Linked DNA regions of Notamacropus eugenii. The protein of the gene in region 1 purifies or fractionates together with the protein of each later gene. This does not show direct contact. Links are inferred from orthologs where the notes say so. Each region holds a gene or a part of one and is shown in the gene's direction. Other genes may lie near its edges.

Evidence for each region.
Region 2: the proteins of MINK1 (region 1) and STRN4 purify together in Homo sapiens (affinity purification with mass spectrometry; 3 studies listed by BioGRID and IntAct, with this or other methods). This does not show direct contact. The link is inferred for Notamacropus eugenii from reciprocal best matches to the Homo sapiens genes MINK1 and STRN4.
Region 3: the proteins of MINK1 (region 1) and CNOT9 purify together in Homo sapiens (affinity purification with mass spectrometry; 3 studies listed by BioGRID and IntAct, with this or other methods). This does not show direct contact. The link is inferred for Notamacropus eugenii from reciprocal best matches to the Homo sapiens genes MINK1 and CNOT9.

What each region holds. Positions count from the first base shown.
Region 1 is NC_092873.1:79,245,383-79,249,129, forward strand, and holds the start of MINK1 (misshapen-like kinase 1), read left to right. Parts: upstream 1-952; 5' UTR 953-1,293; coding exon 1,294-1,350; intron 1,351-3,747. UniProt on the Homo sapiens protein: Serine/threonine kinase which acts as a negative regulator of Ras-related Rap2-mediated signal transduction to control neuronal structure and AMPA receptor trafficking.
Region 2 is NC_092876.1:28,840,598-28,844,344, reverse strand, and holds the start of STRN4 (striatin-4), read left to right. Parts: upstream 1-1,176; coding exon 1,177-1,455; intron 1,456-1,554; exon of another isoform or gene 1,555-1,584; intron 1,585-1,708; exon of another isoform or gene 1,709-1,723; coding exon of another isoform or gene 1,724-1,858; intron 1,859-3,747. UniProt on the Homo sapiens protein: Calmodulin-binding scaffolding protein which is the center of the striatin-interacting phosphatase and kinase (STRIPAK) complexes.
Region 3 is NC_092877.1:317,097,618-317,101,364, forward strand, and holds the start of CNOT9 (CCR4-NOT transcription complex subunit 9), read left to right. Parts: upstream 1-950; 5' UTR 951-1,083; coding exon 1,084-1,200; intron 1,201-3,747. UniProt on the Homo sapiens protein: Component of the CCR4-NOT complex which is one of the major cellular mRNA deadenylases and is linked to various cellular processes including bulk mRNA degradation, miRNA-mediated repression, translational repression during translational initiation and general transcription regulation.

The sequences.
Region 1 (3,747 bases):
ACCTATTCCAGCCCTACCCATCCTTCAATACGCAGTCTCAGTGCATAATAAAATTGCACAAGGGGAGTCAGAAACCCACAAAGTGTCACCTTATCAAACTCTACCTCTTAGTAGTTTTCATCTTCCACAGTAATGAATGTTGGCTCACCTCCCTCCTTTCCACCCTCATGAGAGTCTTGAAGGCTGAGCTTTGAGGGCAAAGATAAATTAAAGGTGCACACATATTCCCGATCCCAGGGAGCTCCCACACCAAGGGGAGAACCAGAGCTGTCCTAGGTTTGGGTGTGATGTGAGTGGCCCCAAGGCAAGTTGTCCCGAACAAATACACTGCTTTCATCAGCTGGACAGCGAAATCAGTTAATTCGACCTATCAACAATATTTACTACGAAAAACTCCTGGTTTAGTCAAGGACTTGGAGAAACGTCCCTACTTAGAAGTACCCCTGAATGACGTTCTAAGCCTCCCCTAGCTGGAGAGCATTTCCTGGGCTCCGGTACCTGCCCTCTCCCACTTGCATTCTCCCTAGGCTTTCCCTGCGGCACTCCCTCCCCCAGTGGTTCTCCGGTTGCCGTGACGACCAGGGTGGGTGGACAGCCTGTCCTAAGCCTAGCCTAGACTACCCTATCCCGAGGCCCGCTTTCCCCCTTAGCGTGGGGGGTTGCCATGGCAGCCCCTCCAGAGTTGTGAAGGGGAACTGGGTGTCGTTCCTTCCCCCGCCCCGCCCCGCCCCGCCCCGCCCCACCAGGTAGGTGGCTCAGTGAGAAAGTTAGGGAGCTAGTTGCAATCCTGGCCGGCGGGAGGGGAGAAGGTGGCGTGCAAGGGAGAAGAGGCTCCGTCCGGCGCACGCGCAACAGTTATTCCGTGCACTCTGGACCATCACATCCCGCACCTTTTCCCCACACCCACTTCCTACTCTCCCCGTCCTTCAGCTGGTTCTCGCGCGTGCGCACAGCCTGTCCTCTTGCTCCTTCCTCCCACCCTCGCTCGAAAAACGCATGCGCAGTAGAGTTCAGGGGCTCCCGGTCGCGAGTTCAGAACTTGAGCTCCTGTCAGTCAGTCAATCGGAAAGGCTCCTTTCGGTCAACTTGTCTGCATCTCGTCCCCCAACCCGTCTTTCAGCGAAGGGAAGGGGAGGCGAAGCGGAGCGCCGATCCCCTCTTCTCCCCCAATGGGGCAGGAACGACAACGGCAGCGCAGTAAGGGAGCCGGAGCCTGAGCCTGAGTGACCCCGCGTCTCTCCTGGGCCCGCCCAGTCTGAGCCTCTCGGCTCGGGCTCCGGCCCGGCCGCCGCCATGGGAGACCCCGCCCCAGCCCGAAGCCTGGACGACATCGACCTGTCCGCCCTGCGGGTGAGTGAGCCCTGCCCCCCGCACCTGGGCTGCCGCCAGCGCTCGCCCTTCCCCTCCCCCTCCACGTACGGAATCGTTTGGCCCGGGGCGCGCGCGTCCTGGTCCTCGGGAGGGACTGGAGGAGGTGATTTGGCACCGGGTCCCTGGGATGCACCCCCACTTTAAGGGAAGCCCCGCCCCCTCACGTGGAGACCTCTTTAGCCACCTCTCCCCTTTTCTCTCTCTTCCTTCCCCTCTGGGCCTTGGCTTTCCCCCCAATACCTCCGCACACACCTGCACCCCTGTGCACTTGCCCTCCGTCACCACCGCCTCTCCCTCCCTCCTTCCTTCCTTCTTTCCCCCTTCCTCCGCCATTTAGATTTCTCTCCTCCCTGATTATACTGCCCCTTCCGGCGATTTCTACATGCCCAGCACCCCCATCTTCCTCGTGATCCCTCTGCAACCTTGGACCCTCGTATCCCCTTCCTCGGGACTTTTCGTCCTTTGCGAATGTTTTGGAGATGAGCGTCCTTCCCTTTCCTTCTCTTTCCCCCGCCCCTCTGACACACTTTTCCTATGCCTGACATTCCCTAGCCTCCCTCACTTGTCTTTTCAACCGCCCTCCCCCCTCAAAAAATCACATGCAATGCGATTTTTGTGGCTTCTTCTCCCAGCCGCAGTTTTTAATGGCTGGCTTTCCTCCCCCTCCTTGGTTCTTTCATTTACCTTTGTCGTACTTACCTTCGGTCAGGACTTAGGATTCTGAAGCCTGTCTCACTCACTTCATTATATTAGAGCCTACCTCTTTATCACTCATCTCGCTGCCCGAGACAGTTTTCCCGATCTCTCTATTGAGAGTGAAGTAGTCTGCATATTACAGATATGAAACATTGTGAAATTAAAAAAGTCGATTATACCTGGTGTGGAGTTTAAGCTTTTCTGTCCAGACTGCATAGGCTGGTATGCGGACATTTGCTGCAAGCTAGTCTGGAGCTGTAGCCCACTAGAAAAAAAGATGAATGTGTAGTCTGGATGATGGGGAAGAAGTGTGGGTGGATGGTGACAACGAAGAGCCTTAGGGTGTGTGTGGTGGGGAGGTGTTTAGGGGACAGGGGCTTGGAAAGATTTGGTGATTTCAAGGTGGAAGACTTAAACCTGTCATTTCAGTGTTTTGTCCCAGTGCCCTTGGTGGCTTCACAACAGGTGTAGAAGGAGCAGAGTTTTCCATCTGGAGGCTAATCTTCTTGTCAGCCCTTGCTCAGCCGATTTGCTGGGATTTGAGTTAGCCAGGAAATGTGACCAATAATGGGAGAATATAGTTAGCTTTACAGATGCCCCTCATTTGGAGGGAATGAAGAGGCAGATGGAAGGGATGAAATAAAAGGGAGCAGAGTCATGTTGTTAATTGGGTGACACAGTTTTTTTCCTGCCATTTAGGTCATCATTTTCTTTGGTGTAGTGTCAGTCTATGAGACTTTGCTTCTTCGAGATGAAGTGATAAATTGTTAGGGAGGGAGAGAGTGATGTTTTAGTGAGTGGCTGTGAGATTATGAGGATTCAGACTGAGAAAACTGGTTAAGTGTAGAGTAACTTCGACTTGGTTAATGTAGACCCTTTCAAATAAAAGATCAGTTGGAATCCAGACTCTCAGCAAGAGGAACATTATGTGACATTCTCAGGGCCTTTCTTCTGTGACATATCTCTTCCCCACCCTCAAACAAGTCTTAGCTATTGATTAACCCAGGTGGCTGAGGTCCTGTGACTGGTGATTAAGTTTTCTTAAAAACAGATGAGTTAAAACTTTGCCGTTACAGCAATGTGAAACTCTAGGCTTGGCACATTTCTCAAGTGTTGGGGGATGGAGAAGTTGAGATAGTCTCTCTTATAGTTTTGGACAGGGAACCTCACAGTCCTTCTGCTAAGTGTACTGTGACCTTGGATGTGACATTACTGCTCTGAGCTTTTATCTTTCTGTTTAGAGAGATGTTAGACCTGGCTCTGACCACACACTCCCAGTTTCTACTGTTACTGGCTTCTTCCCCACCCCAACCCTCTGCGATGTAAGCATCTAGCTTCCATTTCTCCTTACCACCACTCCTGTCTCTGAGAAGCTTCTGTTTAACTTATTCTTTCATCCACCCGTTTACATATACATGTGCATACAATCCTCTTTATCAGAACCTACTTGGGAGTGTTGCTCTGTTGACAGGTCCTACTGGCTTTCTTCAGGAAACTAGGCACCTATCCTACCCAGCCTGTACATGCATACATGTTCCAACAGTACTGCCAAAGTGCTAACGATGCAAGCATCTTCTGCTCTGTTCCTGTCTGTCTTTCTGTGAGAAATGGAAAATGGAGGCTTCAGTAGCAAAGCCCATTCCTTTTCACTGCATCATAGAAAGTTAGGAGGTGGGGAAA
Region 2 (3,747 bases), on another chromosome or scaffold:
CAGTAACCGCAGCAACCTGCCTCCCTGCTCCCCGCTGCAAAGCTCGCAGCTCTCCCCAAGCGCAGCATCCCATCCCGGGACGGGTCTGGACGCCCTGAACAGACTGAGAAGGACGGCCCACAGCAACCACGATTCCTCCTTAGGACCCCCCTCCTACTCTCCTCCCCGCCTGGGGAGGGGGGAGGGATCACGGCCATCACCCTCTCTTTCCCTGGGCATTCGCACACCGGGGTCTAGGTGTGGTACTAGGCCCGGATGCCATAGCAACCCACACAGCCCGGGGTGGACTAAGCAGATGCTGGGAAGGGACAGATTAGGGTGACTATAGCAACAGCTCTATGGTAGCTGCCATGGCAACTGGCCTATGGGAATTGGGGGGAGGGACAAGGGTTACTGCCGCCACCGATCCTGGCCCGGGGGAAGCAGGTAAGTGTTGCCATGGCGACCAGCCGGCGGGGGAGGGGCCGGGATCGGCTGGGGGTTGCTGGGGAGGGTCGCCTAGACCGGCAGGATTGCTATGGTAACCCACGGGGGGAAAGAGATCCGGGATTGGCGGCTTGGAGTCTCCGGGACAGCGGGGGTGCAGGGGCGGTGCTCCCATAGCAACCAGTGGGGCTGGGGGGGCGGGAGACAGGGTGCAGACTGGTGCCCGTTGCTTGGCAACCCCGTAGGGATGGGGAGGAAGGGGCCTAAGGAGGGGCTGGATGGGAGGGGGGCGTGGAGAGCTGGGCCAGTTGCCGTGGTAACCGGCGGGCCAGGAGGCGTCTCGGATTGGAGGCTGGGAGGGGAAGGATGCGGCCAGGCCGGTCGGTTGCTACAGTAACTGGAGCGAGGGGCGGAGCCAGGAGCCCGAGTCTGGTTGGGGCGCTCCGCAGGGCGGAGAGGGGAGGGGTGTCAAAGGGCTAGGACCAAGGGCAGCCTTCCCGGCGCGCGGCCGCCGCCCCCCCCCCCCCGGCGCGCGGCCGCCGCCCCGCGCGCCTCCCTCGGGGAGGTGACAGCGCGCGTGCGCGTGCGGGCGCGCGGCGACAGCTGCGCGAGGCTCCTCCTCCCCTCCCCCCCCGCCCCTCCCCTCGGGCTCGAGCGCGCGTGCGCGCGGACAACCGCCGTCCGCGAGGGAGGCGCGCGGGGCAGGCGGCGGCCCGCGAGGGCGCGCGCGCGCTCCAGCCGCCGGCCTCCATGATGGAGGAGCGAGCGGCCCCCGCCGCCGCCGCCGCCGCCGCCGCCGCCGCCGCCGCAGCCGCCGCCGCCGCCGCCGCGACCGCCCCCGCCTGCCGCCCGCCGGCCCCCGGCCCCGCCAAGGGCGGCGGCGGCGGCGGGGGCGGGGCCGGCGGGGGCAGCCCCGGGGCGGGCCCCGAGCCGCTGAGCCTGCCCGGCATCCTGCACTTCATCCAGCACGAGTGGGCGCGCTTCGAGGCGGAGAAGGCGCGCTGGGAGGCCGAGCGGGCCGAGCTGCAGGTGAGCCGCCGCCGCCCCCCGCCCCCCGCCGCGCCAGGACCCGCCCCCGGCCCGGCCCGGCCCGCCCCCCGCCGCTGCCCCGGCCCGCGGGCCCCTCACCCGCCGCCGCCGCCGCCGCCATCTTGGAGAGCAATGGCCGCCGCCCCCCCCCGCGGGAGGGAGCGGGGAGCAGGGAGGGGAGGGGGAGCGGGGAGCGACCCCCCCGCCCGGGCTCGGGCTCCTGCCGAGGAGGGCACGGCACGGGAGGGGAGGGGGACAGAGAACCCCCATGGGCGACCTCGGCTCCTGCTCCCGCCGGGGAGAGAAGGGGGACAAAGAAGACCCCCGCCCCCCGCCGCGGGAGGGGCGGAGTGACCCCCTTGCCCGGAGGAGGCGCTTGGGGGGCGGCCCCGGGCGGAGGAGGGTAAGAGACCCCGGCCCTGAGACGGCTTCCACTCACCCCACCCCGTACGGGTTAGGGGAGATCCCGGGGAGGGCTGTGGAAGGGGAGCCCTCGCTCGGCCTCTCGGCAGCTGCGCCCCCTCTAGTTGTTTCTGACTCTTGGGGGTCGAGGGAACATTCTCAGAAGATCCCAGCCGTGACCCTTCTTCCTCCAGCAGCCCCCCTGGTGCCCTGAATTTTCAGTGGGGGTCCTGATTTCCCACACCCGCTGCGCCCCCCGCAACATAGGTGGGAGGTATTGGTTGATGTAGGACCCCTGGCATAGGGGAAGAGGTGGCCTGGGAATGAGGGGCGTTGTGGTCACCGCCCCAGAACGAAAATCAGAGGGTTAAATGTGGGGAAGGGCGACTTGGGCAGTGGCTGCAGGGAGGAGGGCAGGACCCCAGGACTAGCAGTATTTGTAAAGCAGTCTGTTGTGGGCTCATTGGCCCCCTGGTGTGGGAGAAGAGTGTTAGATCTGGGATCAAGTTGGGGCTCGTTTTTGTGACCCTGGACAAATCATTTCACCCTCCTGGGCCTCAGTTTCCTTATCTTTAAGTGGAGGGGTTGAACTCGACAGTCTGAAGTCCCAGCAATACAGCTATGAGCTTATGTGTCTGGTGGGAATTTGAGAATGAGAGACTTAGTGGAGCCTCAGGATATGGGGCCCCCAGAGGCAAAGACTGAGGCCATTGGAAGCGAGGCGAGTGGGGGCCCCAGCATGCAGAAGGGATGTGCTTGTCCAGGCAGCGCTTGGGTGCCTGCTTCCTGCAGCCTCCGGGCTTGGCTGAGAGGGAAGGGAAGACAGGTGAAGCAGCCCCTGCCTTTGATGAGCAGGAGGCAGAGTGGGCACAAGAAACCCCAAAGAATTGGGGAGCAGGGCAAAGACTGGGGGTGGCATAGCAGAATACATATCAGGCCTCTGACACTCACTGGCTGTTCGACCCTGGACAAGACTGCTCTCTGCCTCAGTGTCCTCATCTGTAAAATTGGAATAAGAGCCCCTGCCTCCCTCCCCCGAATCGCTGGAATCATATATGTGAAGTGCTTTGTCAGCCAGAAAGAGCCATAGAAATGCTGCTGCTTTTTATTTAAGCCCCAACAGTTGTGTAGACGGTTTAACCATTTTAGGTGACTTTTTTTCCCCAGAGAAAAATGTTCTATCTCCATTATGTACAGGCTCCTGAACAGATTTCACCTTCTTGTGCCCATTCAAGATGATTGTCATGCACTTTTATTCATGTCATACAGTTGGAGCACATGGGGCCATTCCCCCATGCCCTGGGTCTACTGTTCATGGGCTTCATTGGGTCTTTGCTGTTGCTTCCTGCTGTTTGCAGGGTGCCTGCCTGGAGCAGCTTCTCCTGACTCCTTTTCATCTGCACTTGGTGGGGAAGCCAGCTACCCCCTGGTTCTGCTAGAGGGCCCTGTTAGGGGCTGCTGGGTGGTCTGGTCACAGAGGACTCTGGACTCCCCTGGAAAGGCCAGGGCAGAGCTGGGGCTGGAGCCTGTTCCTCTTTGTTCTTCACCAAGGGGTGTCCAAGGGAAGTTGAGGAGGAAGGAATGGGGCAGAGCAAAAGGTGCTGGCGGTCTCATTCACTGACAGGGCCAGGGAATGGACCTGGGATTTCACTGGGACAGGGAGCTCCCAGAGGAGAAAACTGCCAGTGCCACCATCTCCTCTGCAATTTATAATTTGAGAGGGCTGATGGAGAGTGGGAGGGGGCATGACTTGCCCACATGGTCCTAGATGGTCTGACATATCAGAGGCAGAATTTGAACCCAAGGCTTCCTCTGGCTGAGGCCATTCTGCCTGTCACCTGGGTTCTTCTAGTTCTCAGAGGCATCCCATGACAGTTGGGCTGAGGGCCA
Region 3 (3,747 bases), on another chromosome or scaffold:
CAGGATTCTATCACACATCTTACTTTAGAAGCACAAAAGGCTATTAGAGGTAGATTTAATAAATTCCATGTTTTACATATTCGATCACATTCTAATTTACCAGGTCCCTTAACTGAAGGCAATGCAATTGCTGATGAAGCCTTGCAAGTTTTTCATGCGGAGTCATCTCCAATATTAGCTCATTCCAAATCTCATTTGTCTGCATGATCTCTTAGACATTTATTTGGCATAACAAAAAGGGAAGCAAGGCAGATTGTAAAGGCGTGCACCCAATGTGCTCCATTTCTTCCACCACCACCTATATACTCAAAAAATCCTATAGGTGACTGCCCAAATGATATTTGGCAGATGGATGTCACTCACTATTCATCATTTGGATGTTCTCAATATATACATGTATGTATAGATACTTTTTCAGGCTTTCTTATGGCAACTGCTCGCTCTGGTGAAGCAGTCAAAGATGTGACAACTCACTTACTAGCATGTTTTGCTAATCATGGAGTGCCAAAATGTTTAAAAACAGATAATGGCCCAGCCTATATATCAGCTGCATTTAAAAAATTCTGCTATGAATTTTCCATCTATCATGTTACTGGCATTCCTTATAACCCTACAGGCCAAGCCATTGTTGAAAGGGCAAATCGTTCCCTCAAGGTTTACTTGCAAAAAACAAAAAGGGGGAATTACACAAGGCCATCAGGCATCTCTCAATTTAGCCTTATACACATTAAATTATTTAAAGTTCAATGATAAGAATCTTTCAGCAGCCATGAAATATGCTATTGCTATAAAAACATCAAGAGGAACTTCACTTCTAGAAAAAACACAAATAGAGAATGAAGGAAAACCGGCAATGTGGCGTGATGCAGAAGGACAATGGCATGGTCCGGGAAAAATAATCATATGGGGAAAGAGTTATGCTTGTATTTCCACAGGAAAAGAGAAAGAACAGTGGGTCCCAGTACGCAGGCTTCGGCTGATAGAAGAAAGAGACAATGGGAAGAAAATCACAGGGCAAGAGACTGAGAGCAGCAAAGCGGAGAAAGAAGCTGGAAGAACAAATAAGGAGTCTTTGTCTTCAAAATGAGGAGGTTGATTCTGTTTCTCTTACTGACTCTTGGGGCTGGAGGACGTCCAACTCCGACCCAGGAGACAAGTGGGAATGCACATCACTGGGCGTTCATCCCGAATCCTCCGTGGGTGAGGGTCATAAGATGGGGTGAAAAGATACCAACACCAGTATTACATGGCAGTTTGTCACACATGTTTGGGGGTGCAGGCTTTGAATTTATAGGTAAATCAAATGGTTCACAGCCAAGAATGAACTTTACTAGATTGATCACAGGATTACCGCTCTGTCTTCAAAAGAAGGTTGATGGACGATGGAATGGCACTGCATGGGTTTTTAATGATATAGCGGCCGATATGACATGGTGTGCAAACATAACTCTGGGACATGAGACTTTGGGTTATCGAGGGGACTCTAGACTCTTTCACCTATGGACTTGGGTCATTGAGGGACAAGATATGGATCTAAAACGAGAAATAAGTTTGAGATATAGACCATATTGTACAAAAATGGATGGGGCACGAGACATGGGACAAAAATGAGAAGTGATTTTTAGATTTGGGCCACAACGTGGAAAGAGGGATGATCCCAATGTCTCCATTTATTGTAATTATTCAGGTTTTGTACCATTTGAAGATTGTCAGTCACATCAATGTCAACAGACTGTGTTATTCTTAGAGCATTATAATAAGAGCCTTATTTCCTGTCACAACCTATCGTATTTTGGGCCAGATCGCTATGTCTCAGGATATCCTAGTCCTAGATATGTTACTAACAAGGGTTCTTATACAGCAGGGATTGAACGGGTGATTGCCACTATTGGGGGACAGACAGTATAAGGTTTTGTAGGACCATTTATAATTGTAGCACCAAATGGTACTATAATTACAAACCGTATTAGTCTTACGGCGCGAGTGTGTTTAGGATCATCTCATGCCTTTATGTGGGATCGTACAAGTCAGTCTACACTCGTGCCACATATGAATATGACAGGGATATTCAATTTAACTTGTCCGAATTGTTCGGTACATGAATGCATAGGGCCACAATTTGATAAAGGAAGGCTTTACATCATTACTAGGCCAAAGTATGCACTCACAGTAGTGAAAACACAAGGATGGTATCGCACTCCGGCTGACAATATTATGTCAGTATTAGATCAAAAGACAGCAAGTTTGATGTGATTCAAAAGATGTATCTCATGTGTAGTGTTAGGTATAACCTTATTAGTTGAGCTAATTGTTAGTTCTACTGCTCTCGCAATGTCTGTCTCTAACACGCAGAATAGTGTCCAAGAAGCGAGTGCTCTTCATGGTCTCATGCGCAATGTCTCAGAAGGATTTCAATGTCAGGCTCAAATGGATAAGGAATTTTACAATGCTGTTCGTGCTTTACAGAAAGCAGTACTGTTCTTGGGACATGAAGTTGCATATCTAGAATTACAAGCAAAGTTACAATGTGATTATAGGTATAATACTTTTTGTCTTACTCCAAAACAATATGATGCAACTGAAATAGCATGGGAAAAGATTCGGGCTCAATTACAAGGTGTAGTCAATGATAATGTGACCTCAGAGCTCCAACAATTGATTCAATTGGCAGAATATATCAGTCAGGCTTCCCATGAAGACCTACTTCCACAAAAAACTGTTCAACATATCTTAGATTTTTTCCAACATGCTGATCCCTGGCACTCACTAAAAACTTGGCTAATTTCATTGGGATCAGGATTACTAACATTGCTTATATTAGTTGCTATTATACCAATATTATTAAAGTGGATATTGTTAACAATTCGTAATTCCCTCTTCTCCACTAAGCATACCGTGCTGGCTATGAAAGAACAACTGTACCAAAACAAAAAGGGGGAGTTGTAACGGGACGAATTAGAGCTGACCCCTGTCCATCGCAGGACTCCACACTGAGAGCCTGCCTAGATAACCTGGGGGCTTGTCAGTAGGGGTGGAACTAGATGGATTTCAGGAGGAAGGGTCTCGTCTTTTTTGGCAACGTGGCAGTTCTTTGTCCAGTTCCGGATGTCCAGTGGAGAAGATACCCATATAAGGAATAATGTTAGGTGATAGGTTCAATGTATAGGCTTAGGAATGTTCACGTAATTAAGACTATATATGCATGTGAACTAGCTGGAATAAACGGAGTTCTCACCACCTTGTCTCCCACCTCATTTCATTATTCACTAGATCAAGGCCTCTTGCTGGACAAGAGCCTTGGGTCGGGGTTTAGGGATTCCCGAAATGGTCTAGGGGACCCCAACAGGAAAGGAATAGATGGGAGTCTAAAAGTATATCTTTTCAAAGTCTATCACTGACTTAATTTTGCTTCAGAGTAAATCAGTTTCACTCTTAAGTCCTATGTTTCCACACCTATAAAATGGTGTCAGTAGCCTACCTCTGGTAGACATAGGTATCAGAAATAGTTTAGAATGTTATAGCTAGATGGCACCTTAGAAATCATTTTTTTCAAACCTCTCATTCTCCCATTTCACAGATGAGGATTCTGAGAAGTGACTTTGCCCAGGTCATACTACTGCTCTAACAGTTATAATTCCCATCAGCCAGTTGACACTTCCCTTCAACTCAAGTATTGAATCACGTGCATCTAAGTTTGTTTCTTATGTACAGCTGGACATTAATGAAACTTCATTTCTGTGTATGCTC